3 linked regions of the Arabidopsis thaliana genome follow. The protein of the gene in region 1 interacts with the protein of each later gene in a pairwise test. Each region holds a gene or a part of one and is shown on either strand. Other genes may lie near its edges.

Region 1 (11,717 bases):
GATAAACAATGAGAAAACAATAATAAGACATGAAAATAATTATGTACTATAGATGTTTTGTGTATCTTACAGTAGCTGGTTCAAGAAGACAACCGACGAGATTGAAGATATCACTGCACCGATTGATAAAATTCATATAAAATAACGTTAGGGAAAGAGAGAGATTATGATAACAAAGAAGAACTTGAGATGGTGTACGGACCCGGCGACCCAAGCGAGGAGGAAGGAGAGAGAGACACCGTTACTTGACTTTGTACGGAAGTTAGTGATGACCTGAGGAATCTCTGCGACTCCCCAACAGAGGAGGCTAGCGATTCCAAGTGCGAATGAAACGTCGTCGTTTAAGTTACAGAGACAGTCATCGAAGTATATCTCTACCCATCTCACGCATGTCTTCTTCTCCTTCAAGCAGTAACCTAAAGACACCATATGTCTCTTTGTTTAGGTCTTCTCTCTCTATATATGTTATATATGTCTTACTCTGTCTGTGTGTATGTCTCTCTCCCTCGGAGGTTCTTGATTATTTTATAGGATTATGGGTGAGGAAAATGACAAATCATAAGGAGATAGGGGAGAGAGATATCTGTAAATACATGTATTCATTCATATACTTGGGACCATTTATTTTACTTCGTATATTTTACCCACCATATCTAAGCTTGTTACGTTATACTTTATTGTAATGTTTCGAATCATTACATTATTAATCTTATAATATAGTTCTTTGATTGCTTTACTTTTGGATTAACAAGCATTAACAAGTTGTTAATGTTAAGGTGATTAATAATTATCAAGGGCACATAAAAACAAGAGATTTCAAAAATTAAAGTTGGAGGGTGGAGAAAACAGTCGACCTATGATTAATGAGCATATTCTCTTTTATCTTTTGATGCTCTGCTGAATCTCAGATGTTCAGCCTTTTTAGTACGGTTTATTAGGTATATTCTTTTTCACGATTCTCCAACATTTTGGTATACATTTCTGCGAAATATATATAACCTAAGCCCTAAGAAATTGTTTTCGTCGTCATACATATATGTTTTTAATGTTCTTTCAGTAATCCTAATCCATTGGCCGAAAATGTATGCAATAGTTAAAACCACATCTAATCCGGTTTGGTTATGTTTTGTACTGATTATTCAAATCAAAGTGTACGAGAACTTAATTGGAGTAAACTCCATGATGTTGACATTTTATGGTATAAAAGATGCTGTAAAAGCTTTACAACATTATTGATTAAGCAACTTGCATTTTGTAGTTTACTTGCCTATTGATGTTAATGAATCTGGAAAAGCCCGACAAAGTTGTACATTTGTAACTTTGTGGCGTAGCCACCATATTCGTGCGATTGGCTGCCCCCAAAACAACGGTCCACATTTTTACTGAACCAGGAATTTAAAATTTATTTTATTTTTGAATGAAGGTGCCAAAGCCAAATAGCCTGCTTAGTGCTGACTGCGTGGTGGCATCATGTTACGATGATGACGACATCTTTCATGAACCGACTTTCGAATTTAATGACATCTTTTAATGACACCTTGGTGAACTGTTTTGCATAAATTTCAAGTTAGTTAAAAAAAAAAGGGAAGATAGTTCTGTATATAATGTTGCAGTTTTGATTTGTTTCTCAAACACTAAAAACCAAAATTAAAATTTTGCAACCTTCAAATTATACTTTACAACTTTTTCAAAAGGCAATAGAATAATTTCAAGATTAGCTAGTGGATTAATGAAATTCTCTGGTTCATGAATTCTGAAATAACAAAAAAAAAAGAAAAAGAAACAAAGGTTAATACGTTTTGTCACGTTACGTCGTTTTTGCCCTCGACAAGACATTATGAACGATCAATTCATTAGCCCTAATTCTAAATGACGAGTACTCTACCAACCATTAATTTTGTTAACATCATACGATATAATGTTGACGAATGACGATAATATCTAGAAAAAATTGAATTCTTAGAGGTGACTTTTAAAATATGTCATACCAAAGAAATATATCATGTCCACTAAAACGTCTTCACTTTAATCGATCGTAAAAACATCAAGAATCCGTTTGCTCTCCCTCTCCAACATGAGTATCCTCATTTTTTTTTAACAAAAACTTTTTAATATATACTTTAAAATTAGATTTCAATATTAGCAAAAAACCATTAATTTCTATATCGATGAATAAAATTTTGATTTGGTTATAAGAAAAAACATTAGCTTAAATAAAATTTGTTGAAACATAAACGCTTGATAGAGAAAATGTTTTAGAAAAAAAAACCAAAGAGAGAAGAAAGAAACGGCGACGAGGCGCCGCGACAAGTTGGATGAGGAAGTGGGAAACACGTGTGAATATATCATCCTATCTCTCTATGTTTATCCTCATATCCCACATCTTCACAATGTTTTTTGTATCTCTTTATCATCATTTGTTGATAATGTCTAATATTTATATTTGGAAATTAATGATTGACAATTGACTTGAGACGTTTTCGTTTTTTATACTCTAGAGAATTGACTGAACATCTCGATCGAGAGAACTCATCTTCCCATAATACTAAGTTACTTGAATGTTGTTTTACACGATCTTGTAGACCATAGTAGTTTTGATCAACAAAATATCATTTTACAAACGATAGAAAGATAGAGAGCATGGAGTGTATTTTTTCACAATGTCTGTATTTTAATTAACAGATGGCAAGCATGCATACTATAATATTAATCTAGTTAGACAGGTCAATATGAGGATACTTCTACATTCTACATATTTGACCTTCGTCCTCTCAGCGAATAGAAGAGCCATAATATACAGTACATATTATGATATAATGTGGAATTGTGGATATACAAGTCTATCCATTTTCGGATTTTCCTTATCTTTCATACTTTTATCCACTGGTCCAGATATGATGAAGTCAAACTAGTGATTGTAGTAATTTAGATTTTGAAAACAGAATAATTTGCTATCTAAGAAATAACAAGCAAAACGTTTGGCAAAAAAAGATAAAAACCAAGCCAAGAATTTTTGGTCTTGTTTCTTGACTCTTGATTTTTTACTTAAAAAGTGGAAACTTTATGACACTTAAATGTGTGTATTGTTGTAACCTATACATTTTTCTTTTTCTTTTCTTCTCAAGTCTATACTCTAAAAAACTATAACAAAGCTTGTTTTCTCTCTTTTTATAGTTTAAATTCCATTTAAGGAAATGTACCGGTCAAGCGAATATGGTCGAGGGTTCGCCTCAGACCATGCTTAAGAACTGCTTGGTTACCTTGCCTGAACCCATCCCCATATGCCGATGAAGAATCCGACTCGATTTGATGCTTGAAAAACTCACCAAGTTTCTTCTCAAAATCAGACCTCTCACCTTTCTTGGACGATGCTGACACCACAGCAGATGATGAAGAAGATGCGATGTCTACTAATGTAGAGCCAGCATAAGTCTCAGATTCCAACCACATGTGTGCTAAAACTTGACATATTCCTTCTTCCACTTCTGGTCTAAGATTTGGATACCCTACAGATATACACAGAGCAACAAAACATTTTTTGATATTTCCCTACGTTCAATTGCTCAACATAATGAGAAGGGAGTGTTCTTCAGATTACCATTTAGTCGAAGCCATGCATGCATCATCTCATGAGCAAGGATTGACCCGGTTAACAAACTGTACAAGTGTAATACGAAAATTTTAGATATCTTATAAAGACAAAAATTTGGTTTAGGAGTGTGTTGAGAAGTGTTTTTCTTTTACCGAGGAAGTCCATATAAAATGAGAATCGCAGTGACTTCACAACGACGTATCAGCCTGCAAGGCTCTGTGATCATGTCTATTAACTTGTAGCCTGCCCCAATTCTTGGTCTCCTTAACACCTATATCAACATCTTTCTGATTCAGAAGCAATTTGTGGTGGATAGCAATTCATTACAAACTTGGAAGAATGAATACCGTGGTGACAGTTTGTTCTTCAGACAAACAAAGTCCTCTAGTTTCAGGTAAATGATGATGTCCCTGCAGCAAAATTAGATAGAAGTAGGTTGAAACAAATGAGCGAGAGAGAAAGAGAGAGTATAAACATAGTATCAATAAGATATAGAGGTTTTACGTGTTTCTCTCCTTCCATAGCTTCGTTTAGAGCTGATCTCTCCACCAAAAGCATAGGAATTTGCTGTTCCACTTTCATATGTAAGCCTTCGTAAAATTCACGTATCTCAAGGTACAATGGTTGGCATTCATGAGTGTCCATAATGGCTGAGTCGAGACATTCAAGACACAGTTTTCGACCATCATCAAGAATGAGATATTTTGTATCTTTTGGCTGAAACCATGAGCCAAAAACAGAACAACATCTGGTTTTCGAATCAGATTCTTAAATTTATTTTCCTATTAACAGAAATGCTATATCGAACAACTGACCTCCATTCGCTCACAACTGCAACACCGAGGAGTTCCATCACGCTCATGTGAAGGACAATACTTTTGCATCCAAAAGGGATGTGCCCTATACTCAATAAGACCAGCTGGATTTGTCGGAATCTAGAGGAGTTACATTTATACATACACATTAAGCTTAGTACAACCTGGGAACAAATTTTGGGTAAAATATAGAGATCAACAGAAGTTGGCTATCACTCACAAAGTTATGGCAAACATCACATTTAGGATGATGCTGCTCCTTGTAACATAATTTGTGATAAGGCCGATTTCCTGACATTGAGAACTGTAAAACAAAGCTTGAACAGGTTAAGCTTCAAAAGAATCAGGAGGATACAATAATAATACTTAATAAAATGTATAGGGACCTCATAATCTATGATGGGCTTATCACATGCATTGCAACAGAAACATTCAGGATGCCAAACGCCACCCATGCAACTCAGAAACCTTCCATGTCCTATCTCAGCTTGGCAACCGACACATATCCTCCAAGAAAATAAACAAAGAAACAAAATTGACTCATTGGAGCTAATGTGATCATGCATCATATCACTATCTAGAGATGATAGTGTCTGAAAATCTAAGAAATGGACATTAATGTATTTTTGAACCATTTACCTGTGACTAGAAGGAATGAGGAAGGGATATGGTTGAAGTATATTTCCTGGATCATATCGAGGAGGAGATCCCACATTCATACTTTCTTGAAGGGCCTTGGCGAGTAGCTCATCTTCCTCCAGTTGGGCTTTAGAACGCCTCATTTCTTCCTCTTCTAATCGAGCTTTTGCAAGCAGTTTCTCTGTTTCTTCTAGTTGAGCTTCAGCTCTCCTTTTCTCTTCTTCCTCGATTTGAGCTTGAGCTACCCGTCTTTCCTCTTCCTCTGCTGCTTCTAGCTGAGCTCTCATGTATTCTTCATCCTCATCCTCATCGTCATCGTCATCTTCTTCGGTTTCAGATTTGTACTCTACAGAATATAAGGTTTAAGAAACAATTTAAGCAAGTTACATTTCCACACATAACTTTCTTTCTTCTCTTTGTTTTTCTCTATGCATTACCAACGGAGAATTAAACAACATTACCGATTATTTTCTTTCCTTTGTCATCTTGTGGAATTACATGTTCTTGTTCAGAAAGAGAAAGTGCAATAGCACATTCAATCTCCTCTTTGTCAAAATCAGATCCTTCCTGAATCAGAAATTCAAGAAACCCTTTTATCTTCAATTCAAAATGAACCAAAAAACAGTAAAGTTCACTTACCGCAGAATAACGAGGACCTTCCAAGTTTCTATCTTCTCTATATCTTCCATTACATTGTCCATCAGAAAACTTATGGCTAGAACCTTTAAGGATTTTAGTTAGCCACCCCATTGGCAACAACAATCCCTTACCTGCATAGAGAAACACTGTTATACATCCAAGAAAGAGAAGAAACTCCATGTCTTTTGTTTTTTTGTTTTTCCTTAATCAAGGATTAAGACAATAATTGGTAAGAAAGAATCAGACTGATCCAACAAAGAAAGTTAAATAATATGCAAATGGCAAAACAGCAATTGAAGAAGGTATTATTATAGGGAGATTGCATCAAATATAAAAGGGTTACCGAAATCTTAAAGACTGAATTGAAAATAAGGAACCAAAGTACGGAGCTTATTACAAACAATCTCAAGACCCTAAATTGTAATAATATCCAGAAAAAGATTATCCACATCATCCTCAAAACAATCAACCTAATCTACATTCATCATTCCAAATACCCATAAGAAGAAAAATGAAATCTTTATGAAGTTTATTACTGTTAAAGAAAAGGAATCTAAGTACAAGTCAAAAACAGAGTAAAGAGAAATCGCAAATTACCTGAAGGAGATGACAATAAAATTAGCAAAATTAGATGACCCTATGGATCAAAAAAGGAAACTCAATAAACATGATTCTTCAACTTCTCTCGATCACCCTAAAAATCAGGACTTTCTTAGGGAATTGACAGCAGAAACAGAGCAGCAATAGAGAGAGAGAAAGTGAAGGGAGACACTTGAATTCGAAGCAAAACCCTTTAGCTTTTAGAACCCGTGACTGTTAATTATCTTAAAAAGCGTGAAGAAAGCTTAATAAATGGAACAGAATAGAGAGAGAGAGATGAGTAGAGGATAAATCTCCATTAAACACACTTAAAGGTAAGAACTTTATGGAGAAGATGATGGAAATTGTTACGTTTTTTTTGGTTGGGAAGGTCAAGCAAGTGGGCACTTGTTTACAAAAAAAAAAACTAATCATATTATTTTACGGAAGAAATTATTAAGAAGGTTTATAGAAATCAAATGTTTGAAAAATTAAGAGAGAAGAAAAAAAAGAGCTGATGTTTACTAGCATTAACACTAGTGACACACAATCTTTGACTCTCCTCTAATTTACTCTTCTTTAGCCTTTTTTCAACACTCCTAAGTTGATGATTTTGCTCATGACTTTTACTATTCACAATAAAATACCGTTTTTTTCTTTCACATCAAATTTTTAATTAAAATTAATAGAAAAAAGTAAAATAAAACAAAAGTTTAATATACTTCAATGAATAATAACTCGCACATGAATGGAATAAATTTTGTGTCCAACACATCACCCTGTTCGAAATCCCCTGGTCTGTAAACCCAATTTTACACAAAAATACAAAGCAGAAATATAGAAACTGAAAAAAATCATTGAAAATTGTTAGTAGGTAAGGTTATCTAATACTTTATTTAGCTCAACCTAATGCATTATTTAGTTACATACGACCAAATTAATTGGAAAAATATAGACAATATTATCTGGATAATTAGATGAGATGACCCATTGCTAATCACAATTGTACATTACAGTTTCTTATATATATTATTATTTTATTTTTGTGGTTGAGATTAAATTTTGTTAGAAGGATCAAGAGAATTCGGTGGGTTCAATATAAAACCACATGTGAAAAAAAAAACGTGTATATTGTGATTAGCCAATCAATTAGTTGTTTAGGTGCCCAAACTTACTGTGCCACCGCAAGTTTTATCAAAATTAGGTGCTTAGCAAGATGATTCAACTACTCCAGGATATTTTATTTTCCTCTGTTAATATTTTTTTTTTCTGATTGTTTTATTTTAGTAGTAGTTGAATCAAGTGACGTTCTTTAAATTGTGATCCCACTCACTTCTTACGCAAGCAATGAATTAAAGTACTGCAATAGACAAACTTATTTGTTATATATTGGTCATCAAAGTTATCAATTAGCTTTCCAAAAATTTCACTTTATTCACATCTATAAATCATTGACACTAATACTGATGCCATATATTACTAAAGAAAAAAAGAAAGAAAGATAGTTGTATTATCCAGTGGCCATATATTTTAACCAGGCTTCTTAAGGCCCATATGGTAAATTTGGGCCGACGAATCAAAACCCTTATTGTAGAATAATTTTTAAGTTTAAATCAGTTACAGATAGTTGTATTATCAGTGGCCATATATCATATAATGATTGTGGGCTGGGTTTTTTTTTTTTTTGTCTAACAATTTTTGACGATAATATCTTTAATATTGAGCTACAAACAATTTTCATTTTAAAAAAATGCGCCGTTGAATCAAATAGAAAACAGAGAAATCATGTTGAAAAAAACAAAACAGTTAATTTAGAAAATAAAAATTTATGTATTGACAAAAATCCATTTTCATATTATATAATTACTCCCTTTTGACAAGAGAAGTTATTATTACTCTTCGACCATATCAATTTCTAAATTATTTTTAAGCATAAAAATAAAAAGAGTAAAAAAGATTTTGAAGCTTGGTGATGAAAAGTTGAAAACACAGGCTGTCACGCTGGATGATCAAAACACGTGGCACATTGAGGAACGTTGATCCCAGCATGGACCACAAATCCCACGTGGCCATGGCCATCCCTTGCCGGTTTTCCAGGTGGACCAATCAAAATTAATATGTCTCTTAGGACCATTTTTTTTATATGTACACGTTTTCATTTTGAAAACATATTGATAAGGAAAAATAAATCAAGCATTTTTTTAGTTGTAGATTACAACGACGGTGTGACTGGTTCGCTGCTTCTTTTTTCCATTGGGGACTTCTATAATTTAGTCACTACCAATAAATCATTCATCATAATTTAATTGCAAAGTACAGATATCTCCTAAACATGTTTATCAAAAAATGTTACTCCGTGTTCATCTACGATTTATATAAATATTAGAGATATAACACTACGGTCCTTATACATAAAAGAACTGAATTAAGTGTTTTGTATAATATTTTCTTATGTATTTATATATATATATACAAAAACATTATAACAAAATGGTCAAGATATCCAAAAAGCTACTATAACAAATGGTCCTAGCTAATTATTGGTGGTATATGAATCTAGACAAGGAAATAAATGATATGAATTCGTAGAGGTTGTTGTAATTGTATTAAGGTTTAAATTATACTCTTTAGATGCAAAATAAATAAAGAAATAAACAATAATAATTGGAAAGATAATATTGAAAAAATGTGGTGACAGAAGACCATGAGAATGTTGGTCCCTTGGACCTTCGCACATAAAAACATTTTGCTTCTTTTGTTTTTCTTCATTTGATGACAATTTTTGCTTTATTTAACCAACTATTGCCCAATGGTAACTTCTAATATAGGTTCACACATATATTATCAATAGTTGATACTTTTTACTTCTATATTGATGAAATTGGAAGAAAGGTCCGTTGACTCGATGGTCCATATACAGTTTTAATTTAGATGAGCGATTAGTGAGTTTTGATATACATTATTCATGAATCATGAACTTAACAAACCTTTCAAGATAAGGCGTTGCATATTCTTGAATATATATATGATTTCAGATCTCATACGAATCATCAATTTTAACTTATTTCATTTGATATAATAGTTTATCCTGTTTGGCCAATTCAATGGTCATTTTCTATACAGTCTCACATAGTTACAGTTGCATGTACTACTGAGTCATAGTCATGAGTGGCACATCAATTCACTAGCTGAGATGTGATTTCTTTTATATATAATAATCAGAATATAAAGACAAAAAAAAACATCTTCAATCAATCCTTGCCCTATTTTTTTCATTAATTTCTAACGCGTGAGGATTTGGATATACAAAGTATTTGTGGTTGTTCGCGGAGAAAATATGATAGGTTAGAAGTTAACATCATTAGGTGAGGATTTCCCAAACTTAAATTGAATTAATTAGTGCATAAGTTTAGTCTCTTTTAAGACTCAACGTTTGATCATTGTATAAGGATTTAGTTATTTGATTACATTTACACTATCATCAAGTGACCAAAAAAAAAAATTACAAGTGACCTAATTCAGATTCGTTGTGATCTTCATGGTGACATAAACACAGAAGTTTTCGCAAGTACCTCATGGGAAGTAACATTATTCGAACCTTGATAAGACAAATACACTGACATAGTAGTCGGGGACAAATTTAAAGAAACATGTCGTTCCTAGATTTTGACAGTTTTCATGCACACGCATACGTTACATATGTGTATATGTTTGTATTAAAAACATTAAAACAGTTCTCAAAAGCAAACCTTAAAAAGAGTAGTGAGCTTGTTAAGTCAAACGATTAAGCAAAAACAGTAAAACACTGTTAGATTGTAAAATAACAATTAATGGTTAAAAAGCAAAAATAGAAACAGAGTAAAAGAGTTGAAAACTACTATTACTCATCAAACCAATGAAATAAGAATCTAAAATAGAAGATGAGAAAGAAAAAAAAAAGTAAATACGAAAGGAACAATTTGAGTAACACCAAAAGGACAAGAAATGGAATAAGAAGGGACCATCACTGCCATTTTCACAACTCCCTTTGTGGTCTCACTCTCCCATTACTCATGACAAATAATCAAATTTATTTGTTTCTTTCTCATCGACTTTATTGTTTACAACTTTATGTATAATAAAACTTCTTACAGAGTTAAGAATGAACAAAACTTTCATATGAATCTTAAGCTCACAAAGGAGATTACCACTAATTAGAAATTACCAAAAAAAAAATCAGTAAAAAAGAATGTAATTCCGGCAACTTTCAAACTCATGAGGCATAATAATGGTTTGCAGAATTTCATATGACGACGATTGATGGATATGAAACCATATGGTATATTGACTAGACAATAAATCAAACCTACGTGGCTATGAGACTATATTATGAGTCCTTGTAATAGCTTTTGGCTAATCAAACCTTTTTTTATCTCCTTTAGAGAAAGTGGTGACTTTAATCTTCTAACAAATTGCAATTGCACCACATTTAATCAAATCAAACCTAACTCTAATTTTATCGAATCTGGATGATAACTCATAATTTTTCCTTCAACGTACTTAAAAGACCAAACCCGATGAAAGCCTTTTCAACAATAACTTAGTTCATGATCCTTTTGTCTGAAAACAGGATCTGGAAATCAACGTTGTTATAGTCAGGTAATATGAAACCTATCACGACAGATATAACAGATCATTGCAATATATAATAACATTTCATATTTAATCATAATTTATCACCACGAGTTTGTATATATATAATCATTTGGTTTTCGTGAAAAACTAATTGTGTAAATATTTCTTTATAAGTTTGTGATTTTTGGTAGCAAACATTTTGTTTTATGGACTCATTGTCTTTGCTTTCATGTTTTTTGTTTTTCGTAGGACCAAATTTATAGGTTATACATTCATCTAAAACCTTAAAAAAATCAACTAAAGATTTACATTCTTACTGATCATAGCAAGTAAATTAGTCTCCTTTGTGTTGTCGAAATGACTCAACCTCACAACATGATCACACTTTCTGATCCAAGAGCTATCCAAAATACACCGGTTACATTAAACTACGAACACATTTCAATGATAATGAACAGTTAAACACATTACATAGCTTTGGTTATAAGACGCAGAAATTAAAAAATCAATCAAAATATTCGATACTATGAAATTGAATGTTCATGTGAGGTCGAAAAGCGGAAACGTGTCGAAATAAAAATGAAGAGACTAATAAATATGTTGAAGGTTAGACAATTGACACCATTGAAGATATGATAAAGCAGAGGAAAAAGGATCCATTACAAGTTGGCTTTGGTGGGTAAAGAGTATAAATGCCTAAGAAGAAGATCCTCTCCACACGTACGAAAAAGGAAGGTTCGGCACGTAACAGATAGTTGTGCATACGTGTGAAAGGAGGGTGGGATTCACGTGAGAGAGATTGAACCATTTCTATTTCAGAAAGGAAAAAATAGAAAACG
Region 2 (11,172 bases), on another chromosome or scaffold:
CTTAAAGAAAAACCACACAGAGGAGGACTAACTAACTCAATCTTTAACCAACACAATTCAACAACATACAAGCTCAACAACTTCAACAAAACATTTCACTAGAAACTATAGAAGCTAAGCAAGACTAATTTTTTAAAAGTTGTGAAGAAATAACTCACCAGGATCACACGTTTGGTAAAACTTCACCATATCTGCATAAACAAAACACAAAACCCAGAATCGTCAAATCTCACAAAAGAAACCCAAAATAAAAAAAGTTCTTCTTTTTTAACAAATGAAAAACCCAAATGCCACAAAATCGTAACTCTGTAGATACTTATCATTCTGATTCGCAAGTGAGAAACAAGAATCAGACCAAAACTGACCATTAGTGAGAGCTTTAATAAGACCAGCTCGTCGACCTCTGAAGTCGCTAAAGACCTCTTCAACAGTACGAGGTATTGGATGAGTAATTCCCTCCATTTCACAAACGATGTCGCCGGAGAAATCGCCGGAGAATATGAGTACTCCGGTCAAAATCAAAATCTGAGACAAATGTTTCCAGGCAAACAAAAGAAACCCAGAAGGAAAAATATTCACTTTGGGGTTTCGGATTTGGAGAAATGAAATTTGTAAATCTCTGAAAGAGAGAGTTTTTTTTTAATTTGGGGGAAATTGAGAAAAGAAAAAAAGAGAAAGGAGCTACAAACCCTAAAACGATAAAACAAAAGGGACCGATCAAAGATTAATTTTGGGGCTGAGAAGTAATATTAATAAAGACAACATTGTCTATTTTATTATTTTTGTATTAATTAAATAAAGACAACATTGTGTATTTTATTATTGTTTATGTAATAATATAAAATCTATTTATTAATTCCGATCTACATACCCTATTTTTTTCCGAGCTACATTCCCCACTCCCAAATTTTACATTATTTTTATTTTGGTCAAAGACATTTATTTAAATTTTATTTTATTTTTAAAAGTGTCGACGAAAAAAACATGTATTTTTTTTTTTTAACATATTCATTTCCATTAATATTACGAAAAAAAAACATGTTTTTATACGTAGGCTGAGGCATCCAAATTGATCCACAAATTTGGTTTTTGTTTTCAATTAACTTGACCTTAAAGATAAAAGTTAAAAGTTAAAACATTCAGGTCCATCTTGTATTGTACAGAAATAGCATGCCTGGCCCATTAAAGGATAGTGGGCTTTTATAGTAACCTAGGGGAAATGAGATTTGAAGTTTTCAACGATCATCACATTCACGTATTTTGAAAGTTTTTTTCACGATATACACCAGAAATAGATATTTTGAAAGAGAAAGCTACTAAAAAACGGAAAACATTTTGCCTTTTATCACTCAAAAAAATAAAAAATTCATCAAATTTTTAATTATTTTATTGTTTTTATGTGTGATTCTAGATGTAAGAATTAAGAAACGAACCAATATTAATCGGATTCGTTATCTTTGAATATTTTTGCGTTAAGCACGTCGTACTAGCTAGCGAATACGTTTACCGCAACTGTAATCTAATTCGTCACAGAATATCAATGATGTGGTATAATCAACTATAATCTTCTTTTTTCTTTGGGCAAAATCAACTATAATCTATGAATATATACTTACTAATATAGGTGATAGACATATATTATTTAAAATAATCTAAGAAAACATGCAAATACGGTTACATCGACCGGTTAGAAAGGGAAAAAACTTTAAAATTAGTACTTTCGTATCATATTCAAGTCAGTATATATTAGGATTTTGCCACATTACATATATTATTAAAGATTGTTAATAATTAGGATTAAAAAGACTAGTATGAGAGTTAAGTCAAGTTTAAATTTGTTTTTCTCATTGAGAAAAAGGGAACTGATTTCTTACAACATACAACTGTTCATGCTGGTCATATCTGACAAAATCACGGGAACAACTGCTCTTACCAAATATTGCACGTCCTATGCTTTTTTTTTTTGTCAAACCCTAATTAGTCTTATATTTACAAAGACAAAAAACTAGCTAACATCTTTTATCTTTATATATTTCTATCTCAAAATTAGTTGTTGAATTCTTAAGAGTTAGTGGATTGTTTATCTATAAAGTCGCACTAACAGGTAACTAAAATTAAACATCTTGGATCTAATGCATGTAAATGACAATGCAAAATGAATTCTAATAAGTGATGAATAAACAACAAAAAATATCAACATTCAATTTGAAATTTTGAAATGGAATGAAGACCAAATTAAATATCACTAGGTTGGATTTACGGTTACTATTGTTATGGTTTAGTTAGTGTTTGGTTTTAGTCTGGTTTCGGTTAGGGCTCGTACATGAAAATCTAATCCAATAAGTTTATTTCTTCTTTGGTTTGTTTGAGAACTTTTGATACGGATTGCACTCCTTAGTCATTTTGTATTCATATATTACAGTGAATTTTTTTTTTTTAACTACGTTGAATCTAGCTTAAAGAAATTAACTTTAACACAAGAAAAAAAAAACTACTTAATTGACTATATATGTTGAGAATCAGTTCCATTACATAAACTCGCAGTAATCAATCATTGTCTATCGCCATAACAATATATAAGGAGTATGAAAATATGGCAAAGCAGCATTAATAATTATTGTCATGGATAATAATCATGATCTAATTAAATTACTTAAAAGGAATATTAGTATAGTGATCTCTGTTTCCATCTGGTACTATTGGATTCCACATATCCCACAAAGCATTGTTTGGAATCGTTCCTGCAGGAATCATGTTCATAGCTAACGCCGCTTGAGTTTGAGGCATTAGCGTTGTCGCTGTAGTCGCCGCAGCCACCAATTGTAATGCGTTTGCGTTAGCATTTTGTTGTTGAGTATGATGAAACTGTTGAGCAATTTGAAAGTATTGGTGATTGATGTTACCTCCATCTGATATTTGGTAGTTAACTAGTCTTTGAAGATCGTCAACAATGGCAGTTTCATCATCGTCTTGATGATTTCTCGTAGAGACTATCAATGTGTTGTTGCTTGTGTCGTAAGGCATTGGACGATATATGTTTTGATTGGCTAGAGCAATGGTAACGTCAGAGTTACTGTTTGTGGTCGTTGTTGTTGTGCTGCCGTCGCCGGAATATTCGGTGGAGAGCTTCTCGAGATTGTTGATGTTGTTGTTGTTGTTAAGGTTGTTGTCGGAATGATTAGAGGAGGATGAATGGTGTTGTTGTTGTCTTAAGGCTAAACGGGATGATGTCGATGAGTTATGGTTATGATGTCTTGTGGAGAGAGAACGTGGTACCGATGGATGATCTTCTACTCCTGGCCTTTTGTACACTCGGCACAATGATATTTCAGCCTATAATTATACATGAGCACATTGATTAGAGACTTGATACATATATCAAATTATCAAATATAGACTAACAATATCTATGAAAAATATCATTTATCGAAGATATGGTTTTGAAAGAAGATTCACAAACTATGTAAAGTTAGCATTAGCAAAAAAAGATAGCACGTTTAGAAGAAATTTAGAGTACTATCATATGACGTAACAATGCAAATATAATTAAGATGATTATATTTATTATTTTTTATATATTTAATTGCGTAATTTTAGTTTTATTAGTACAAGTGAATGTGCAATACATACACATAGATAATTATGTCAACCCTGTTGTTTTAGCTGTCTTATGCATACATCATAATATCATATATATACATAGAAAATTTTATAAATTTATGGTTTCAAATGGTGACGACATATAAGTCGAAAGAGCCCAAAAAATGTATTTATCTATCCATTGTCATTTTCCGTATACATAATATTTTTTCGGTCTACTCCATAAACCGTTATCATTCGTATAGATTTTAAATGTTCGCATATAAATATGTTGGTATAATTCATATATGCCAAATTATTTCAAAAAATGTTGGGTAACTTAAATAGAAGACATGAATTAATGTGAGGAAGAGCAGGAACATTCATGTCATAAATTGTAAGAAAAACTAACTATGTCTCTGCAGAATTAAGGTATATGAATGTCGAGTGTGATACTTGTGTGTTTATATATATGTGTATGCATCTATCTATTAATGTATTCTACTATAACATATGGGCCATGTCTAGCAATTTAAAGAGTTCACGCATATGACATGAACATTTTTCTGGATTTAAGCGCAAACGCCGCCTGACATTTAGTCCATTCACAAGTATTTTTGATCTTATCGAATCAATTCCAAAATAAATAAATAAAACTAGTCAAAAAAGAAAAAATTCAAACTGTCTAGGGATTAATTTCAATTTTAAAGGCCTCACCACCTAGCTAGGGTTATATCTATGTATGTATGAATAGGATATATATAGAGTTATAGTAGAATTTATACCTTTTGGTACTTCTCGGTTTCATGGTGCGGAAGACGATACTCGTTCATGATCCAACTAGTACGAGTGCCTTTAGGGGCTTTACCAGAGTAGAAAACTAGGGTTTTCTTTAATCCGATAGGCCGAGAAGTCTCCGATCTGATCATCCTATCAGCTCCGGTGGCTTTCCAATATCCTGAAGTCGTTACTCGGTTCGGTCTATCTCCATTTCTATATTTCCGATCTCTTGGCACATAGAAGTACCACTCTTTCTCTCCTATCGCCGCCATAGCTGCATATACATATATCTATGATTAAACATACATAAGCTAATTATGAAAACATACACATATTTGTATATCTTATGATATATATGTAGGTTGTTTAATTAGGTTAATTTAAGAAAGAAACTAAAGAGGGAGAAGCGTTTAAAGATATTGAGAATTGTTAACGATCGACATAGTAATACTTCATAAGGAGGTAGGTACATATATAGGTTAAAAAAAAAGAAATAGAGAGAGAAAGTGATAAGAGAGAAGAAAGATCTTAACATATGAATAGAAATTAAGATTTCCAAATAGTTTGAGATGATTTATGTGTGTTTATGTGAATGTATATTTACCAGGAAGTTCCCAAGGATCATAGCGATAAAGATCGAGGAAAGTGATGAGTTCTACATTAAAGCGTTTGCCTTCAACTTTTCGGCGAAGGTAAAACTCTATGAGTTCTTCTTCGGTAGGATGGAATCTAAATCCGGGCATGACCATGTCATGATCATGATCATCAGCTTCATCTTCATTTTGGACATGACTCTCTTGGCCGCCTCTATGATCATTGTCTTCTATACCTTTTTCGTTATTGTTGACTTGGTTACTCATGGGAATGATGCTTGTTGTGGAGGATACAATTGCCATATATCAAAAAGACTAGATATGTGTATGCATGTGGATTAAGGTGATATATGATGATGAAAAGTGATTAAGGGTTTGCTTGGTTTTTATACTAACAATGGAAGGGAAAAAGAGAGATGAAATTGAGTGGTGTTGAGTAGAGATAAGAGGAGGAGAAGAAGAAGAGAGGACGACTATATAGGAATGAAACGTCATCGTTTTTGGGAGTTGAGACCAAACTAGAATAAGACAAAGAGAGAGAAGAAGAGAGTTAAGGAGGAGACAAAGACTTGTCAAATTGAGGACAGGGTGTCCACGGTTTTGTTTTCTTAGCCGTGCCTTTGGACCTTTCTCTCACTCTCCATTTCTAGCTTTTTGTTTCAAAATAAAATAAAATATCTATCTATTAGTTTTATGTATTTTTTCTAAATACTAAAGTTTCAAATATTTAATAATTATTGGGTTGTAACACAAATGAAAAGAACAGTTGATATCTTTTACAGGAAAAATTAAAGTTTATGTATTATAAACGAAAAAATATTTTGAAACAATATTACGAATTGACATCTTTCAAATGGATGTCATGGACCTCATGGTTACTAGTTCAATTATACTTGGAAAAAATAATAATTAATGTTTTAAATGCAATATCAACAATTGGTGTGGACATACGAAAAATATAGACCGAAAGTCTAAAATTCCCAAAAACTATCATTCTTAGAAAAAATATATCATGGTTTTCTTTATAGTTTTATTTGCACATGCACCATCTCATGCACGTTAAAGATTCATTAGTTTTAGTTAGGTATATGATTGGTATTTTATAAAGACAATCTAAACTTTAGAGAATAACAAATTAAGTTGATTTCATGTATAATTTATGTGTAAATAGTCTATATTTTGTTTTGGTTTTTGTTCCAATCCATCGCTACAAAAATTGCGAAAGTGTAACTAATCTAATTCTCCTGATCAAGGCATAGCGATAAAGGATCCATAATAATTCATTGTTATAGGTAGACTAATTGAATAACGGATATTCTTAAAACAATGTTAAAAATTTGGATTATTATAGTTAATTTATTCATCGTTGAGACAAAGAATTCTGATTGGTGGCCTATATTACTAATTAAATAATAATATCACGTATGCTTACTATGTCACTCGTCATAAATATATTTACGTGTTTTTCATATGCTTCAGCTTCACGAACGTTCTCTTATTGTTTCGCTATTTTTTTTATGATATATTTGGCCCACCATATCTTCATTGCATGATACTACTATGTCTTCAATTATGAATGCAAAACAAACTGACCATGATTTTGCCAACGCTCTCCATGTTCCTATGACTTAGTAAGAAGCTGAACTTACAGTACATATGTTAGAATTTAGAAACCCGCCAGTTCTTTAAAATTTGTATTAATATATATAGATACAATATATTATATTTAGATATATGTATCTATAATCTATATGTATAATTGTTCCATTTTATTAATAATTCAAAAAAGTAAATAAGATATAGACACAAAACAATAAACATCGTAACAACATTAGCATATATATATATATATATAGCTGAGCTAAAAAGGCTAGGCAAACTGTAATATATTTAAGTTCATCATGGAAAGATAGATAAAATATATACTAAGTACAAATTTCATACTTACAAGTTTATATGGAAAAATGAATTTAAAGTATCAACGTAAATGAGATAATGAATGAAATTAAAGTGAGGTGGTAGTGGGGCTTCTACGAAACGAGAGTGGGGTTTTTAGAAACCTTACTCTACGTTGTAATGACTTCATATTTTATATTTTTATTTTGTCAAATGTTTCAATGGATGTCATGGACTTCATATTTTTTAGAAATCCGTGAATGCATATATCTCATTCACAACAAATTTCATTGGATTGAGCTCAGTGTAGACAGACATTTTTCAATATGGATGTCGCGTACCAAAAAAGCTTATGAAACGTGGAAAAGATAAACTATTCAACAACCATTAATTAGACCATTGCGATATCAGAAAATGAACTTTTTTGTGTTGTTAATTCGAATCTTCGTCAAGAAAATTATCTAGTTACATGATTTTTTTTGTTTTTATGTTTAAACAATTTATAATATATTTACTACGAACTAATCAAATAGTAAATCAGTAGACATACACATATTTCAAAAATTATTATACCAGTTTAGTTTACATAAATGTATAGCTTTTGGATATATATTTAAGGTTTTCATTAAAATGAATGTAGGTATGAAAGGAAATATTATGTATGACATGGAATCATAGGCATGGACCCTTCGAATATTGATATCAGTAAAAATATAAAATGGCGATAGAAATTAGGAATTAAATGTATTATAAGAGAGTTTAAAAGTAGATTAAGCTAGTGCATAATTTAATGCAAGCGAGTCTTCCATCGGTTTGGCTTTTAGCTAGGGGTAGCAAGTAGGGTGGCGGATATTATATAATGTACATTCCAGAAGATTAAATCATTTTTTCAGTTTAAAGTTTTTGCAATTGTAAAAAATTAAGACCTTTTAATTTTAATTCGAAAAGAACATATATTTCTATTATTATATATATGACATATTATTAACTTATATTTTGTCTTCTGATTATTACATTTTCACATGAGTTTGTCTTCGTTAAAGTTTTAATTATTATATACTATTGTACATATACAGCATAATAGCAACTCAGCAAGGGATTACTTTGAAAGTCTTAGAATCTTCAAGCTTACTATTTGGCTAAATATGCAATATATATACACGCCATTAGTTTGTGCTTTAGCAATTGATTTAACCAAGCTGTAAGAAGATAATTCGTCTGGTAATTGTTGTACCATTACTCTGTAAACTTTGGGTTGTACTCTTCATTTTTTCTTGCTGTAAAAAGAAAAAAAAAACACCTAAAGCATGTAAAATTCTCATATTGCTTTAAACCAAAACAAAAAAGGAAAGATACAAAACGTGGTGAGAAAATATAATATAGTTATAGAAGTTGTGAATTTTAGAAGGGACACACTATATACACTTGAGTCTGATTGGAAAACAAATGTTATAAAAGTGCATAATAGCTGTAAGAATTTCCTACCGATCATACTTTTGCTTAAATCAATTATAATATGAAACGAGGAAAAATTTAAAGCGGGTTCGAGAACAAGAATTTAAGGATTTGAAATAGGATGATGCTAGAATAGGTCCAGTAATAAAACCCCTAAAAGTCTTATGCGATCACTATCACAAGTCTTGTCCTAACTAAAATAACACTTTTAACCAATTATCGATTCGTTTTTGCCCAGAATAGAATTTAATTGGATTTGGTTACCATCATTACAATTTCATTGGTCATCAGTTTTTGTAGTTAGGTGATTTTAGTTTACTTTTACAAGTAATAATTGAACTTTAGTATTTCATTATTCCACCAACTTTATTATTATATACTAGTATAATAGGCACACTCTTATGATTATTGACCCTTCTTTTTCGCAATAATAAATATATTTCAGATTGTTTTGGGATGTATCTAGATTCCAATGACATGTATGGACAGATTGTTTTAATATAAAAAAAGTATATGCTCTCCAAATCAAGATTTGGATCGTATCTTTTACATTCTTGTGTGCTATTAATTATTAAACTTTCGATAACTTAATAAAACAGAAATTTGAATCGGTTAACCAACAACACTATCTCGTTTCTCATCAAATCGTGTACTTAAAATAATTAAATTTATAGTGATAATATAATTTGGATATTAGATTTTATGTAATCCACAAACATCATTTTCAAATTAATACTATATTAGTATATTAGTCAAACTTATTAAGTTTATATTGAGTATCCTTCACTATCAAATCTCTCTTACTTTTTTTTTTTCTTTTCTCTTTTTGGGATAATCTCTTACTAGAATGTTGTAGTTAAAAGAGACATTTTTAACTTCCAATAAAATCATTCATATTTAGCTTTTGTTGGTTGAACCAATGACTATGTTAATAAGACTATATTTTTCCTCGTGATTGGCTATATTTGTCCTGGTCTCACGTAGTCGGAAAATATCTAGAACAGTAACTGATTTTTCTTCATAGGTATTTAGATATCTTATGTTCAGAGAAATTACCAAAGAGCCTCTACACATATATACCGTATGTAACTATGTACTGTGAAAAACGAGCAAAATAAATCATATTATTTAGATTAAAAGATTATGGTGGGAGTTAAAATACTTTCATGAGTTACTTACTAATGATTTAAGTTTTGCTAAGAGACTCTTGTTGGTAGAAACTTTCTGTAAGGTTTTAATCATAATTAAAACAATATATTGTTGATCATAATCTAAAATGGATTTTTCGTTTCAATTTTAAAGTCAATCATACTGTAATTGCATCATGTTTATGATTGTTTTTTTAAATTCTAAAACGCAACTGTTGTAACAAAAAAAAACTTCACTAAATACATGATATTGACTCTACTTTAGGGTAGAAATATGTCAATATAAGATCGTGTAAATTACACACACAATCCTGTCTTGGGAGCCACAGGCATTTCGTGGACTTGGCCTTCTTGGCGGTTGTCAACCCTTTCTCTTGGCTCTTTTTGCATTTACTCAATTGTTTGTATTTTTATGTATTAATTAATATCTTACATATATGTCCCATTTCACTTTCATATTTTTTTTGCATATCTCACATTTGGGTTTCCATATCCAAAACGAAATATCCTTCTATGAGTTATGAATAGTTACGTCACATACAAGAATTACCTATTCGTCTAACTGATTTTGAAAGTTTCATAAATGAGCCATTTAAACTGATGAAATGCTTCCTTAAATGCTCAAGCGAAAGAATTTACAAGATAATAAATTTACAGCCACACAAAAAAAATAAAAAAAAATATTCTACATTTTAAGAAAAGAGAAAAAATGAAATACAGTATATATTTATGCTCAATAGCCAATAGGTGACGCCAACGTCTTATATCATCATGAGCCGGCCTATGAATACAAAGGCATCGTCCATGATTGATAAGATATTTGCAAGTTGTTAGAAAATGATAGGAGGAAAACTAAAATTAAGGTATTATTGGACAAACAAATATAGGGATAATATAATTATATAAACTATTTTCAAGCTGATTAAATAGTTAACTAAGCTCCAAAAGTATGTTTCTTAATTTTTTCTTACAATAAAGATAAGTTTTTCCTCTCTGTGTTTTTTGTTTTTGTCAATTCCTCTCGGTGCTTCTTATTATAACATTTTTACTCTATATCACCACAACACGAGTCAAAAGCCAATATTAATATATTTCAAGCTGATCTCCAGACTTATATACACGGGATATAAATCTCTGGTATCAATCAGTTGCAACTTGCAATATATAGTGCTAAAATTCTACAAGATAATTAAACTGTGTATAATTACCACTAATGTAAACAATGAAACTAAATTGGTAATTATAAATTTAGAAAGAAAAACGAAAACCTGAAGATTTTATGAATGATAGAAATATTAAATTAAATAATTATTTCACGTTGAAACGATATGTTAAAAGGTATGAAAGTGAAAAGATTGGTATGTCAAACAATAAATAAACCAAAATATGGGTTTTTTTGAGGGATGGCTATTCTATAGAATAAAACCAACCAAATTGCATGGAAGAATAAGACCGACGTACAATTTTATGTTTATCTTGTGTGTGTGTTGTATGGACCGCCCAGCCAATAATGCAGCCACAAGTTGATCGAAGAATGATTTGTCTTCATTTACACAAAATTACAAAATTTAACTTTTATTTTAATTTTAATTGTGGGGACAAAACTTAATGCATGAAAATGACGTATGTCGCATCTCTTCTACGATCCATTCCTTCAAAATAAAAATACTTTTGATAGGTAACGATATTTTCATTCATATAGAGAATCTCAAGAATTTGTT
Region 3 (11,014 bases), on another chromosome or scaffold:
TTTCTTCTTTAAAAGGGGAATTTCTAAAAATGGATATTGGAGAAATCATTGGTGAAGTAGCTCCTTCTGTGAGTATCCCAACGAAGAGTGCTATATACGTTTGGGGTTACAATCAAAGCGGACAAACTGGTAGGAATGAACAAGAGAAGCTTTTGCGTATCCCAAAACAGCTTCCTCCTGAGCTTTTTGGTTGCCCCGCTGGTGCCAATTCGCGTTGGCTCGATATTTCTTGTGGTCGGGAACATACAGCTGCGGTTGCATCAGATGGTTCTCTCTTTGCTTGGGGTCAGTCTCTCAGTTTTCTTTTCCTTTGTGTTGTTACTAGATTGTCTTTCTTCTTGTGTTATAAAGTTCTTTTCTTTATGTAATTCTTGGCTTTGATTATGTATCAAGTGTGATAGAAAGCAATCTAAGTAGTTACCAATTAGTTGTTTGGTTATAATTGTTGGATCTTGTGATTGAATCTTAGGCAATCCGTAACTTCCTGAAGACGGGATGATTCTTACATTTTTATGTCCTCGTTTCAGGTGCTAATGAATATGGTCAGCTTGGGGATGGAACCGAGGTTGGGAGGAAACATCCAAAGAAGGTGAAACAGCTGCAATCAGAATTTGTGAAATTTGTGTCTTGTGGAGCTTTTTGCACTGCAGCTATCGCAGAACCCCGTGAAAATGACGGTACTCTTTCCACTAGTAGACTCTGGGTTTGGGGCCAAAATCAGGTATAACAGGTTCCATTATCGTGACTGGAATTGTCACGTCATGTATTTTTCTAATACTCTCTCAATTTTTTCATGATAGGGATCAAATCTACCACGCTTGTTTTCGGGGGCATTTCCTGCTACAACGGTATGTACTTAAATCCTATCCATGATAGAAACATACTAGTGTAGACATTGATTTGGTATTTGCACATATTATAGGCAATCCGCCAAGTATCATGTGGGACAGCTCATGTTGTGGCCTTATCAGAGGAAGGCCTTCTTCAAGCTTGGGGTAAGAATGCTTTGAGATCTTGTTATGCATTAGAATCTGTTTGTTTGGTATTTATTTATAATGATTTTGAGGTTTCTGTGTTCCATGGATATTATAAGGCTATAATGAACAAGGCCAACTTGGTAGAGGAGTCACTTGTGAAGGACTACAAGCACCTCGTGTGATAAATGCTTATGCGAAGTTCCTTGATGAAGCACCCGAGCTTGTGAAGATTATGCAACTTTCATGTGGAGAATACCATACTGCTGCTCTTTCTGATGCAGGCGAGGTGTAAGTTATCTAAATGCCTTCTCTTGAAAAGTTTGTGGTTATTCACATGAATGGGTAGCTAATTCTCTGTGCAATGTTCCGAGGAAGGAAATCCTTTTGATGGAGATATTGGTCTCATCACATCCTAGCAGATGGGAATGCTTGAGGAAGCAAATGAATTCCTGACTTGCAAGTCTTCTTCCCTTTTGCTTATATTTTCTCGGTTTATCTTATTCAGTGTCCACTGCTTATCTCTTTCGTGGCAGTTACACTTGGGGATTAGGAAGCATGGGTCAACTTGGGCATGTTTCTCTTCAATCCGGGGATAAGGAGTTAATACCAAGGAGAGTCGTTGGTCTCGATGGTGTGTCCATGAAAGAAGTTGCTTGTGGTGGTGTACACACTTGTGCTTTATCTTTGGAAGGAGCACTTTATGCTTGGGGTGGTGGCCAAGCAGGACAGCTAGGACTTGGTCCTCAATCTGGTTTCTTTTTTAGTGTCTCTAATGGAAGCGAAATGCTTCTACGAAATGTCCCGGTTTTAGTCATCCCAACTGATGTCAGGCTTGTTGCGTGTGGACATTCTCACACTCTCGTTTATATGAGAGAGGGACGAATTTGTGGATGGGGTTATAATAGTTATGGTCAAGCAGCAAATGAGAAATCGTCATATGCTTGGTACCCATCGCCTGTAGACTGGTATAGCTCAAACAAGTTTGTATTGTTTATTCAATTGCTAACCAAAACGGTATGGGATACAGAGATTGTGGTATTTTTCAGTTAGATTAACATGAACTCTGGTGTTTCGTTCAGGTGTGTAGGACAAGTGAGGAAGCTAGCAGCAGGAGGTGGTCATTCAGCTGTTTTAACCGATGCATTTTCGTTGAAGGAGTTGTGTGAATTTCAATTAGCAGATAGTGTGAACCTCTCAAATGCTTCAGAGATTCAAGATGTTGCATTCAGAATGGGATCCGAAGCTTTAGCCCGCCTCTGCGAAAGACTGAGGTAAGCAAAGTTGAAGTTCTTGGACAAACTTCTTCATTACCCCTTAAACTTTGAAACTTAGAAAGAATCCAAGTCAAGTAAAGCTAAACAATGCGACTTGATGTGTTTCAGGGAGCAGTTACTTGATGGGGACTTTACTAATGGGGAAGAAGTATATTAAAAAGCACAATCCCCAAACTCCGAAACAATTTAGTATTGTTGGAAGTTATTACAATTGGTCCTATATTATTGAGAAATTGAAGAATGTAGCAAACCAGAAATTACATTCTTCAGCAGAACTCTCTGTATCATTTAACTTTTCAGGACAGATTTCATTACTTGTCCTGCCTCTGTAAGATCCAGATATTGTAATTATATGTTCTGTACACTAGAATCGAAAATAAAAGCTACATCTTGGTGGCATTGTGATCTGTTGAATGTCACTGTTAACTTGAGAGTTTATATGCCTTTGTCACAAGCTGTGTTTGCGATTGCGGTTAGCATCTAACCACGTCTTTTTGTATCATGCATAGACAGGATAAGTACTTCACCAGATGAGACATGGTCGATGTTAACATTTCACACATTATACAAACCATACATATATAAGCAATTACAATAGGCACAAACAAATCCTGAAACAGAAGAGAGATGTTGAAGGCTATTACAGCTATAGCCACTTGTGTCTACAAAAGCAAAAGTCTTGTGCAATAACATTATTATTCATATGCATAAGATCTAAGATCACACCACGAAGACCCCACCAGTACTTGCTTAAGATCTTTATTGGGGGAAGAAGTATCGCTCACAGCATCCAGCCAGGGATGTAGCCGTTTCCTTGTTGGGACTGACCTTGCACCGTCACAGCCATTTGCTCTGAGCACACTGGATGGCTATATCTGTTTGCAACACCACAACAACATAGTTTCGAAGTCAACAATAGAAACCCACATTTTCAAGTCTGAGATATTGATTTTCCATACTTCAGACATCAAAGTGCTGAATCCTTAGACTAAACAACACGAGTTTTAACCAAAGCCTCTATGAAACAAAGACAATGTTGGGCTTAAAGCAAACTGCTAACTGTTTATAACCTAAGTTGATGTCTTAAGGCAAGAAAAGTTGTTTGATTTACCCAATTTGCAAAGTGGGATCACATTCAAGAGATTGGTATAGTCCCTGAGAATGAGCCTGAGGATGTCCATAGGCAATATTCTGTTGATCACCACCTTCCCATCCTCCTCCTATATGGTGATGTCTCACGCCGATCATATCTTCCAGCTAAACAAAACACAATATTTTTCAAACTTTCCTGAAGATATCATAGAAATAATACAAAAGAAACATGTAGCAGTTGAAGAATGTGAAATTTAGACTCATATATATAAATTGGACTATTTAAAGTTTCCATCTATAAATAGAAACTGGAGGAGAGAGAGAGAAACATCATCATATACCTTCATTGACAAAGCTCTGTTGGCATCAAGCAAGATATGCTCCTTACCTTGAAGATCAGAGAGCTGGTCAAGCATATACTGTGTCTGCAAAAAAGAAGAGGCATTTTCAGATAACCTCACGCATCAAAAACATTTCATGCATGTGTCTCAGTCTATATATAGAGAAAGATTTGTGTGAATCTTTCAGTGTATGTACAGAAGTAAATCACCTTGATGCAGCGAACTTGCTTCAGAGAGCCGTCTAGTTGACGCTCAAGCTGCTCTAGCTCCTTTGAATTCAGAGGTCCAAGATCCTCTCCAAGAAGATTTCTGCAGCAACACACTTTCATGATCAATACAAACTATATATATATATATATATATATATATATATGCTGTTTATAAATGATCATCATCCACATTAATGTATATACCTCTGCTGACGTTGCAGATTTTCATATCTACCTTTCAGCTTCAAGTACTCTCTGTAGCTGTTCTGAAAATTGCGAAGATAATAGACAATTGAATATCTATGTAAGAAACTTTGAAGGGCTTTTGTCTCAAAATCAAACATTTTCTTTAGATAAAATTAAAAAAGGATAAATAATTAAGATCGAAGAGATGTTGGAGATTAAACCTCAAGCTCTTTAGCAGGTTTGTTGTTGACTTCAATGGAGCCATAGCTACACTTCTGATACCTTTCCAGTGTCTTGAGCATGCTGAAAGATCAAAAAACACAAATCAGGAGAAGAAGAATCTATAAATTTAATGAACAAACTAAAATTTTAAAAACTAACAAAAGAAAATTTATAAAAAGAAGATCCCTTAATTAAAAAGATATTAAATTCATGTGGTGCTTAAATGTCTGCATGAGCTTTAATTAGACTGGTTAATGCATGGAACCACTAATTATTCTACGTTGGATCTTTTAAATTTCATTGAAGACTGTGAATCTTTAGTTTACTTTACCAAGTTCTAATCACATATATATCCGTGTAGAGACAATGAAATTACATGATAATAATAGTATATCATTATGATACTTTCCTAGCTCCGATAAATCTAAAAATAGATTGCAATTAAATCCCTAAGAATTTGACATGATGATTAAATTAAGATCAGATCTCGAAATTCAATCACTTGAAAGTACTGAATTATTCTTCTATAATCAAAACCTAATTAGAGATCAGATTAAGAAACTGAAAATATATCAAGTATTTTGTTAAAAAGCAATCAAGAAAGATAAAACTCATCACAAGACTAGAAAAATGAAAGATCTACACACAGATCTAATAAGTGTATAAAGAAAGAGAAGTACTTGGAGGTGCTGCAGAACTCGTAGAGCTTGCCACGGTTGGAGAAGACGATGAGAGAGACTTCAGCATCGCAGAGAACAGAAAGCTCATAAGCTTTTTTCAGCAAACCATTTCTACGTTTAGCAAACGTCACTTGTCTGTTGATTTTGTTCTCTATCCTCTTGAGCTCTACTCTTCCTCTTCCCATCTTTCCTCACCCCAAAAAATCCCTATCTTATTTTCCCTCTTTTATAGCTATTTGTGTAACCTTATTAGGGTATGTAATGTTTTATCTATATACAGACACACAGAAACATGACTTGGGTATTGCTTTTTCTGGGGAAAGATCTTATCTTTTGGTGAAGTAAACCCTAGTTTTCAAGAACAAGAAAAGAAGAGGAATAGCTAGAGAGAAAACTTTAATTAGCTTTCTTTGGTTTTTTTGGTTGTGATTTGATATTAGGGCTCTTGTTTATTCTTTAGATCTTTTCTCTTTTTGAAGGGTTGTGATGAGATTGTGAATCTGAAGAAAAGTTTTTGTGAATCTATAAAAGCTATAAAGATAAGAAAATTTGTGAGGGTGAGAGATCATTAGGGTTTGGTGATACAATATCTCTCTCTCTACTTCTTTACTCTTTCTCTCTCTTCCATCTTTTACACAGAAAGTAAAAAACATTCTCACACCTTCTCTCCCAAGTGCGTGCCACGCAGACACCATTATTTGCCATGAGTAGTTAGTTGCTAGTTGCTACTAATTAAGAAAAATGAATTAAGTTTTTAAAACAAACGTTGTCTAGTTATATAATCCATGTCCATATACATCTAGATATATGACTTAGATACCAATGTTTCGACTCTTTTAGGTCTACACGTACGTTGCCCAAACTTCATATTTGAGACATCTTTATTTATTTGTCAACAGAAATATTGAAACATGCATGGATCTTGATATTCTAAAGGTGCCTGAATTAAAATAGAACGATAACGTTTTAAAACCTAATTCCCAATTTGTAGTTTATATATTTCTTGTTTGATCCATATTATTACAAGCCTATATATAGTGTATATAAAACTCAATTAAGCTTCAAAAAGTCAGAAAACTCATCAATAGCTCAAGTTCCACTAATTAATGCCCGAATTTAAAGTTCATCTCTATAGTTTAAAATTTGTTCGTAGCTAGATTTTGCATCTTGGAGTGGTTAGTTATGTTTATTAGACACTTGGAATGCTTTTGAATGTACAATGTCCGGAAAAAAAAACTAATACTGAAAAGGGGATTTGTCCAAGTGGTGGTAGATAGGAGGAGGCGCGTGAGATTGGGGAAACATTGGTTTCTTCTGCAATGAATGAAACGAAAGCAGCTATCATCATTTTCTTTTTCTTACTTCACAAGCCGCAGAAAAGCCTCTCCTACCTTAAAATGGACATGTACGTGTCGCTTTTCTATTGCTTCCTATCTATTCGACAACATTGAAGTTTTGTTCTATTACTTTCGTATTCAATTTTTAATTTTTGTTTGAGAATACCAATTTTGTTTTGGATCTAAACTCGTTCTAATGTAAAAAATAATAATCAGCCGCAGTATATCAATATGTTACATTGTATCTGGACGTGGGATATCTGACCATGTCTCCATGAATCCATGATGATTGACAGATTTATAGGGATAAGTATCCTGGTTTAGGTAATCCATAAGTATTTATGAATATTATGAAAATAAATTTTGATCAGAAAGATTAATTAGTTAAGACTATGATGTAGGGTATTTTAAAATATTGCTAAAAATTTTGCGCGCTTTCAGTATGTATATTTATTTTACTAGTTTTCGGTTGATATATGATTTCTTGAAGTAATTAAGGTTATTAGCTAAATGGAAGAGAACGTGAGGAATATAACACATATGTGATCACATACGAATATATGTAGGTTTAACTTAATTGGTTCGTTGATTATTCTTTATAAAAGTGAAAGTAGATTTAAATTTGTTTTCCAATCTTCTATGTTTGGCCATTGTTTGCAAGAGTTTTGGGAATTAAAGTCTTTTTAGGTGAGACCAAGAAGGGTAAAATATGAGTTTTTGGGTCTAGAATTTATAAGTTAAATAGTTTATTCTCATTTCTAATTATTGTTGACCAAAAAAAAAAAAAACTGTTTGGTTTTGAGGTTTAATTACTTATTGTATATGTACACTCTCAATCATAATGTTTTGGATATACTGTATAGTAAATTTTTAATCAATCGTGTTTATTAGTATATATGTTACAAGTTACACCATTCGTCGTCTCAGTATCACTCTAATATCATTCTGGCGGATTTACTACACACAATTATGCAATTGTAAATAACTAAATACAAATAATTTTCCTTCAGACAAAGAATCTACGAGCAAAGATCTTTCTTCTCAGGTGACGTAGCAAGTCCGTATGTAGTAATTTAGAGAGACAGCTAAAAAACGTTAAAAAGTAAAAAAAAAAAAAAAAAAAAAAGTCTAGACAGTGGAAATTACGTAATAGGATGGGTGATGTGGTTCGAAGTACACGTGTCGATATATGACTGAATAGTAAGTAAGCTTTGACTTTTGTGGTAGGGGGCTGGCCCAAAGGGAGGAGTCACCTTTCTAACAGTGACTTGTCCCTCTTGTTTTTTTTTTACCCTTTCAATTTGTTTGATATTTTACCGTCTTATTACTTTGTTAATTGTGGACTATAATCTCTTCTTTATACCTTTTACAATGATTCAAATTGTCTAGTCTCATTTAGGTTATATATATATATGATTTGATACCGGAAAGCGCAACACGAACGCAAAGAGCAAATGACCATTGGGGGAAATTTCAATAGAAGAAGAAACACATGTATCATGCTCACATGGGTTTCATATTCACCCAAAATCCTCCAAAGTAGAAGAAACATGTTGCCACTGTATATAGTAAGGCTTATTGGCAAAACCTGACCTTACCTAACATATGTTTTGAAAATTTCAACAAAAAACTATTATTTGTTTAGAATCATTCAAGCAATATGTTTTGTAAACGACCGGTTATGATTTTATGAATGCGTCAATGGTGGCACCTAGAAGTAGAATCAAAGAATCCATCATTGATTAAGCTTTGCATGTCTTCTTAATTACCTATGACGATTTAGATTCGAATAAGTAAAATAGACACTACCATTCGCAAATGGCCCATTAGCTCAGTTGGTTAGAGCGTCGTGCTAATAACGCGAAGGTCGCAGGTTCGAAACCTGCATGGGCCATGTTTTAACACCTCTACTTTTGATATTTAGTCTCTGATCCCTCTATTTTGTGTTTTCTTACATTCACACCCGTTATCTTTTATTTATTTATGCTTGGTCCAACCCTGTCTTTGGTTTTCTTACATTCATACCCATTATCTTTTATGTTGATCTTGGGGAGTTTATGTAGTAGGGTTTTAAATTAAAGCTCCTTCTTCTTTGGTATTTTGCCTCTGGAAATCGAAGCGGGTAGGACTTTTTATTTATTTATTGCATACACGTATTTGTGATTCCTCGTCGAGTTACATAAATCAATAGCGGAAGTAATTGGATTTGTGAGTAGAGAGACTTAAGAAGAAGAAGAAGAAGAAGAATACCAAAGCAATGGAAACGGATCTGAATGATTATACTGTTATCAAGGAAGGAGAAGCTGAGATTCTCATGCACAAGAAGAATCAAGTCTTCTTCAATAAAGCTCAGGTTTTTCCAAATTCTCTTTTATTTTTCTTTCTCTTCTTTGTAATTGTTGGTGTTTCTTAAGATAGAGGCTGAGATAGGTTATCTGAATTGGTGTTCTGTTCGATTTTTATTGGCTGCTTTGATTTGTAATTAAATGTTGTAGCTTTGTTAAGACCAGTGAACATTGATTTGCACCAATTAGCTCATGGCTTATTCGCTTGTTCTGTAACAAGAATTTGGTTGACCTGTTTTAATCAAGGAACTGTCAGTCATTGTTTTAAAGTTTGGATTTTTACGTCTTCGAGTAACCAAAGTATCAAACTTTTTTGATGGATTAGCCAGTTTCATAGTAAGTTGCTGAGAGAAATCTATCTTTCACTGAGTGATATTTGTGAAACTTATCCTTCATACTACCAATTTAAGTAGCTAACTTCCGGTCATGATAGTAATGTGTTTGCTTGAACCTACATGGGATCTGAGCGTGAACCTGATCTCTTTCCCTTCATGTCTTTATCGAATGATTAGGTGAACAATAGAGACATGTCCATTGCTGTTCTAAGGGAATTTCTATCGAAACGCAAGCAAGAGCATGAGGCTAAGTCATCTAAAAGAACTAGACCAGCTTCCAAAGTGATTGAGAAGGATGCTTCTGAAGCTTCCAAGGAAGAAACTCCTAGCGAGAACGGTATGAATAATGGTGATCACGAAGTAGCATCTGAAGATGGACCAAGCTCTGTATCAAAAGACCCTGCTAAGACAACAGAACGATTTGCACCTAGAGAACCCAAGCCACCAAAAGTTCTTGAGGTCTTCCTATATTTTTTATTCGGTGTCTTGCTTCATACCGCTTATTGTGATCTTGCAGTTAGATAAATTTTGTTTGCATACTTATATTTCAGGCTTTGTCAGCTTCTGGGTTACGGGCTCTAAGATATGCACGCGAAATAGAAGGAATTGGTCAGGTTGTGGCGTTGGATAATGATTTAGGTAAAAAGTTTCATCATTTTAATGAATTAGATTAGACGACCTGGAAGTTGGAAGTCTTGATTAATTTGTTTGTTTCTTGTAGCTTCCCAATAACAATATCCTAATGTTGTTCCTTTTTTCTCTTAAAAGCATCGGTCGAAGCTTGCCAGAGAAACATAAAGTTCAATGGCTCAGTGGCTATTTCAAAGGTGGAGTCACATCATACCGATGCTCGTGTCCATATGCTTACCCACCCTAAAGAATTTGATGTGGTAAGCATCTTTTATACTCATTATTATGTTCATTTGAATATTGCTATAGTTGCTTCTGTTAAACTAATTTTGGTTAATGATATTCTTAGGTTGATCTTGATCCATATGGATCACCATCTATTTTCCTTGACTCGGCTATTCAATCAGTCACGGATGGTGGATTGCTAATGTGTACAGCAACTGACATGGCAGTGTTATGTGGTGGTAACGGTGAAGTTTGCTATTCCAAGTGAGTGTTTTGTTTTTTTGCACACCTTTCTCAACCACCGATTTTGCCTTTTGGCTAAACCAGTCTTTAATCTTTAATATATCAGATATGGTTCTTACCCATTGAGAGCGAAGTATTGTCATGAGATGGCTTTGCGGATCCTCCTTGCCAGCATCGAGGTTTGTTTATCTTTGTCATTTTAACGCCAATTCTCTCAGGTTTAGATTGATTTCTTATGTTCTTTTCCACCTTTTGGTTATGCTTTAATGCAGAGCCATGCAAACCGCTACAAGCGGTATATTGTTCCGGTGCTATCTGTGCAAATGGATTTCTATGTTCGTGTTTTTGTCCGCGTTTACACGTGAGTTTTCATTGTCTAATCAAACTCGTAACATCTCAGTTATTCAGATTCTGCAAATTTTTTTGTTTTGTTTTCGATTCACTGAAACCTCAAAGATTAATGAAATTTTCAGCTCGGCGAGTGCAATGAAGAACACTCCATTGAAGCTCTCTTACGTATATCAATGCATTGGCTGTGATTCATTTCATCTTCAACCTGTTGGAAGATCTCTCCCTAAGGTATATACATACACATGTGAAAGTTTTAATACATTTTCTATCCACTGCATCCCTTAGGATGATAGAAACTTTGAATATAGCCAATGATTCTTGTTATGGTTCTATGTGCGTCGATAGTGTTTGACATAGTTCCCTCTTTTTGTAAAACTCTTGAACTATCAGTGAGGTCACTTCCAAACTAATTTAAAATTTCTATCCTGAAACCGCCCTTTTTTATAGTTTATCATAACACATTTTGTTTTTGGCAGAACAACAGTGTGAGGTATCTACCAGCAATTGGTCCGGTTGTGAAGCAGGATTGCAACCACTGTGGGAAGAAATATAACATGGGTGGACCAA

What was found.
Region 2: the proteins of AT4G36860 (region 1) and LOV1 interact in a two-hybrid assay, tested with the Arabidopsis thaliana proteins (one large-scale study listed by BioGRID).
Region 3: the proteins of AT4G36860 (region 1) and SEP2 interact in a two-hybrid assay, tested with the Arabidopsis thaliana proteins (one large-scale study listed by BioGRID).

The regions. Positions count from the first base shown.
Region 1 is NC_003075.7:17,355,394-17,367,110, forward strand, and holds AT4G36860 (LIM domain-containing protein), read right to left. Parts: upstream 6,722-11,717; 5' UTR 6,283-6,721; intron 5,817-6,282; 5' UTR 5,797-5,816; coding exon 5,508-5,796; intron 5,393-5,507; coding exon 5,047-5,392; intron 4,915-5,046; coding exon 4,794-4,914; intron 4,712-4,793; coding exon 4,628-4,711; intron 4,528-4,627; coding exon 4,408-4,527; intron 4,310-4,407; coding exon 4,097-4,309; intron 4,003-4,096; coding exon 3,940-4,002; intron 3,864-3,939; coding exon 3,745-3,863; intron 3,658-3,744; coding exon 3,599-3,657; coding exon of another isoform or gene 3,564-3,598; exon of another isoform or gene 3,507-3,563; coding exon 3,187-3,506; 3' UTR 2,978-3,186; downstream 1-2,977. Other genes in the region: AT4G36850 (PQ-loop repeat family protein / transmembrane family protein), read right to left, coding at 71-113, 203-429. UniProt on the Arabidopsis thaliana protein: Acts redundantly with DA1 and DAR2 to regulate endoreduplication during leaf development.
Region 2 is NC_003071.7:642,127-653,298, reverse strand, and holds LOV1 (NAC domain containing protein 35), read right to left. Parts: upstream 5,762-11,172; 5' UTR 5,295-5,761; coding exon of another isoform or gene 5,256-5,294; coding exon 4,964-5,255; intron 4,822-4,963; exon of another isoform or gene 4,634-4,821; coding exon 4,365-4,633; intron 3,334-4,364; coding exon 2,650-3,333; 3' UTR 2,479-2,649; downstream 1-2,478. Other genes in the region: AL6 (alfin-like 6), read right to left, coding at 159-191, 366-462; AT2G02455 (uncharacterized protein), read left to right, coding at 5,082-5,294. UniProt on the Arabidopsis thaliana protein: Transcription factor that acts as a floral repressor. Controls flowering time by negatively regulating CONSTANS (CO) expression in a GIGANTEA (GI)-independent manner.
Region 3 is NC_003074.8:461,522-472,535, forward strand, and holds SEP2 (K-box region and MADS-box transcription factor family protein), read right to left. Parts: upstream 5,631-11,014; 5' UTR 5,167-5,630; coding exon 4,982-5,166; intron 4,383-4,981; coding exon 4,301-4,382; intron 4,160-4,300; coding exon 4,098-4,159; intron 3,994-4,097; coding exon 3,894-3,993; intron 3,769-3,893; coding exon 3,685-3,768; intron 3,540-3,684; coding exon of another isoform or gene 3,509-3,539; coding exon 3,363-3,508; intron 3,127-3,362; coding exon 3,033-3,126; 3' UTR 2,758-3,032; downstream 1-2,757. Other genes in the region: AT3G02300 (Regulator of chromosome condensation (RCC1) family protein), read left to right, coding at 1-285, 528-721, 801-848, 923-995, 1,094-1,265, 1,511-1,942, 2,057-2,248, 2,360-2,408; AT3G02320 (N2,N2-dimethylguanosine tRNA methyltransferase), read left to right, coding at 8,576-8,671, 9,176-9,457, 9,550-9,637, 9,767-9,888, 9,978-10,117, 10,203-10,275, 10,369-10,457, 10,570-10,675 and 1 more. UniProt on the Arabidopsis thaliana protein: Probable transcription factor. Functions with SEPALLATA1/AGL2 and SEPALLATA3/AGL9 to ensure proper development of petals, stamens and carpels and to prevent the indeterminate growth of the flower meristem.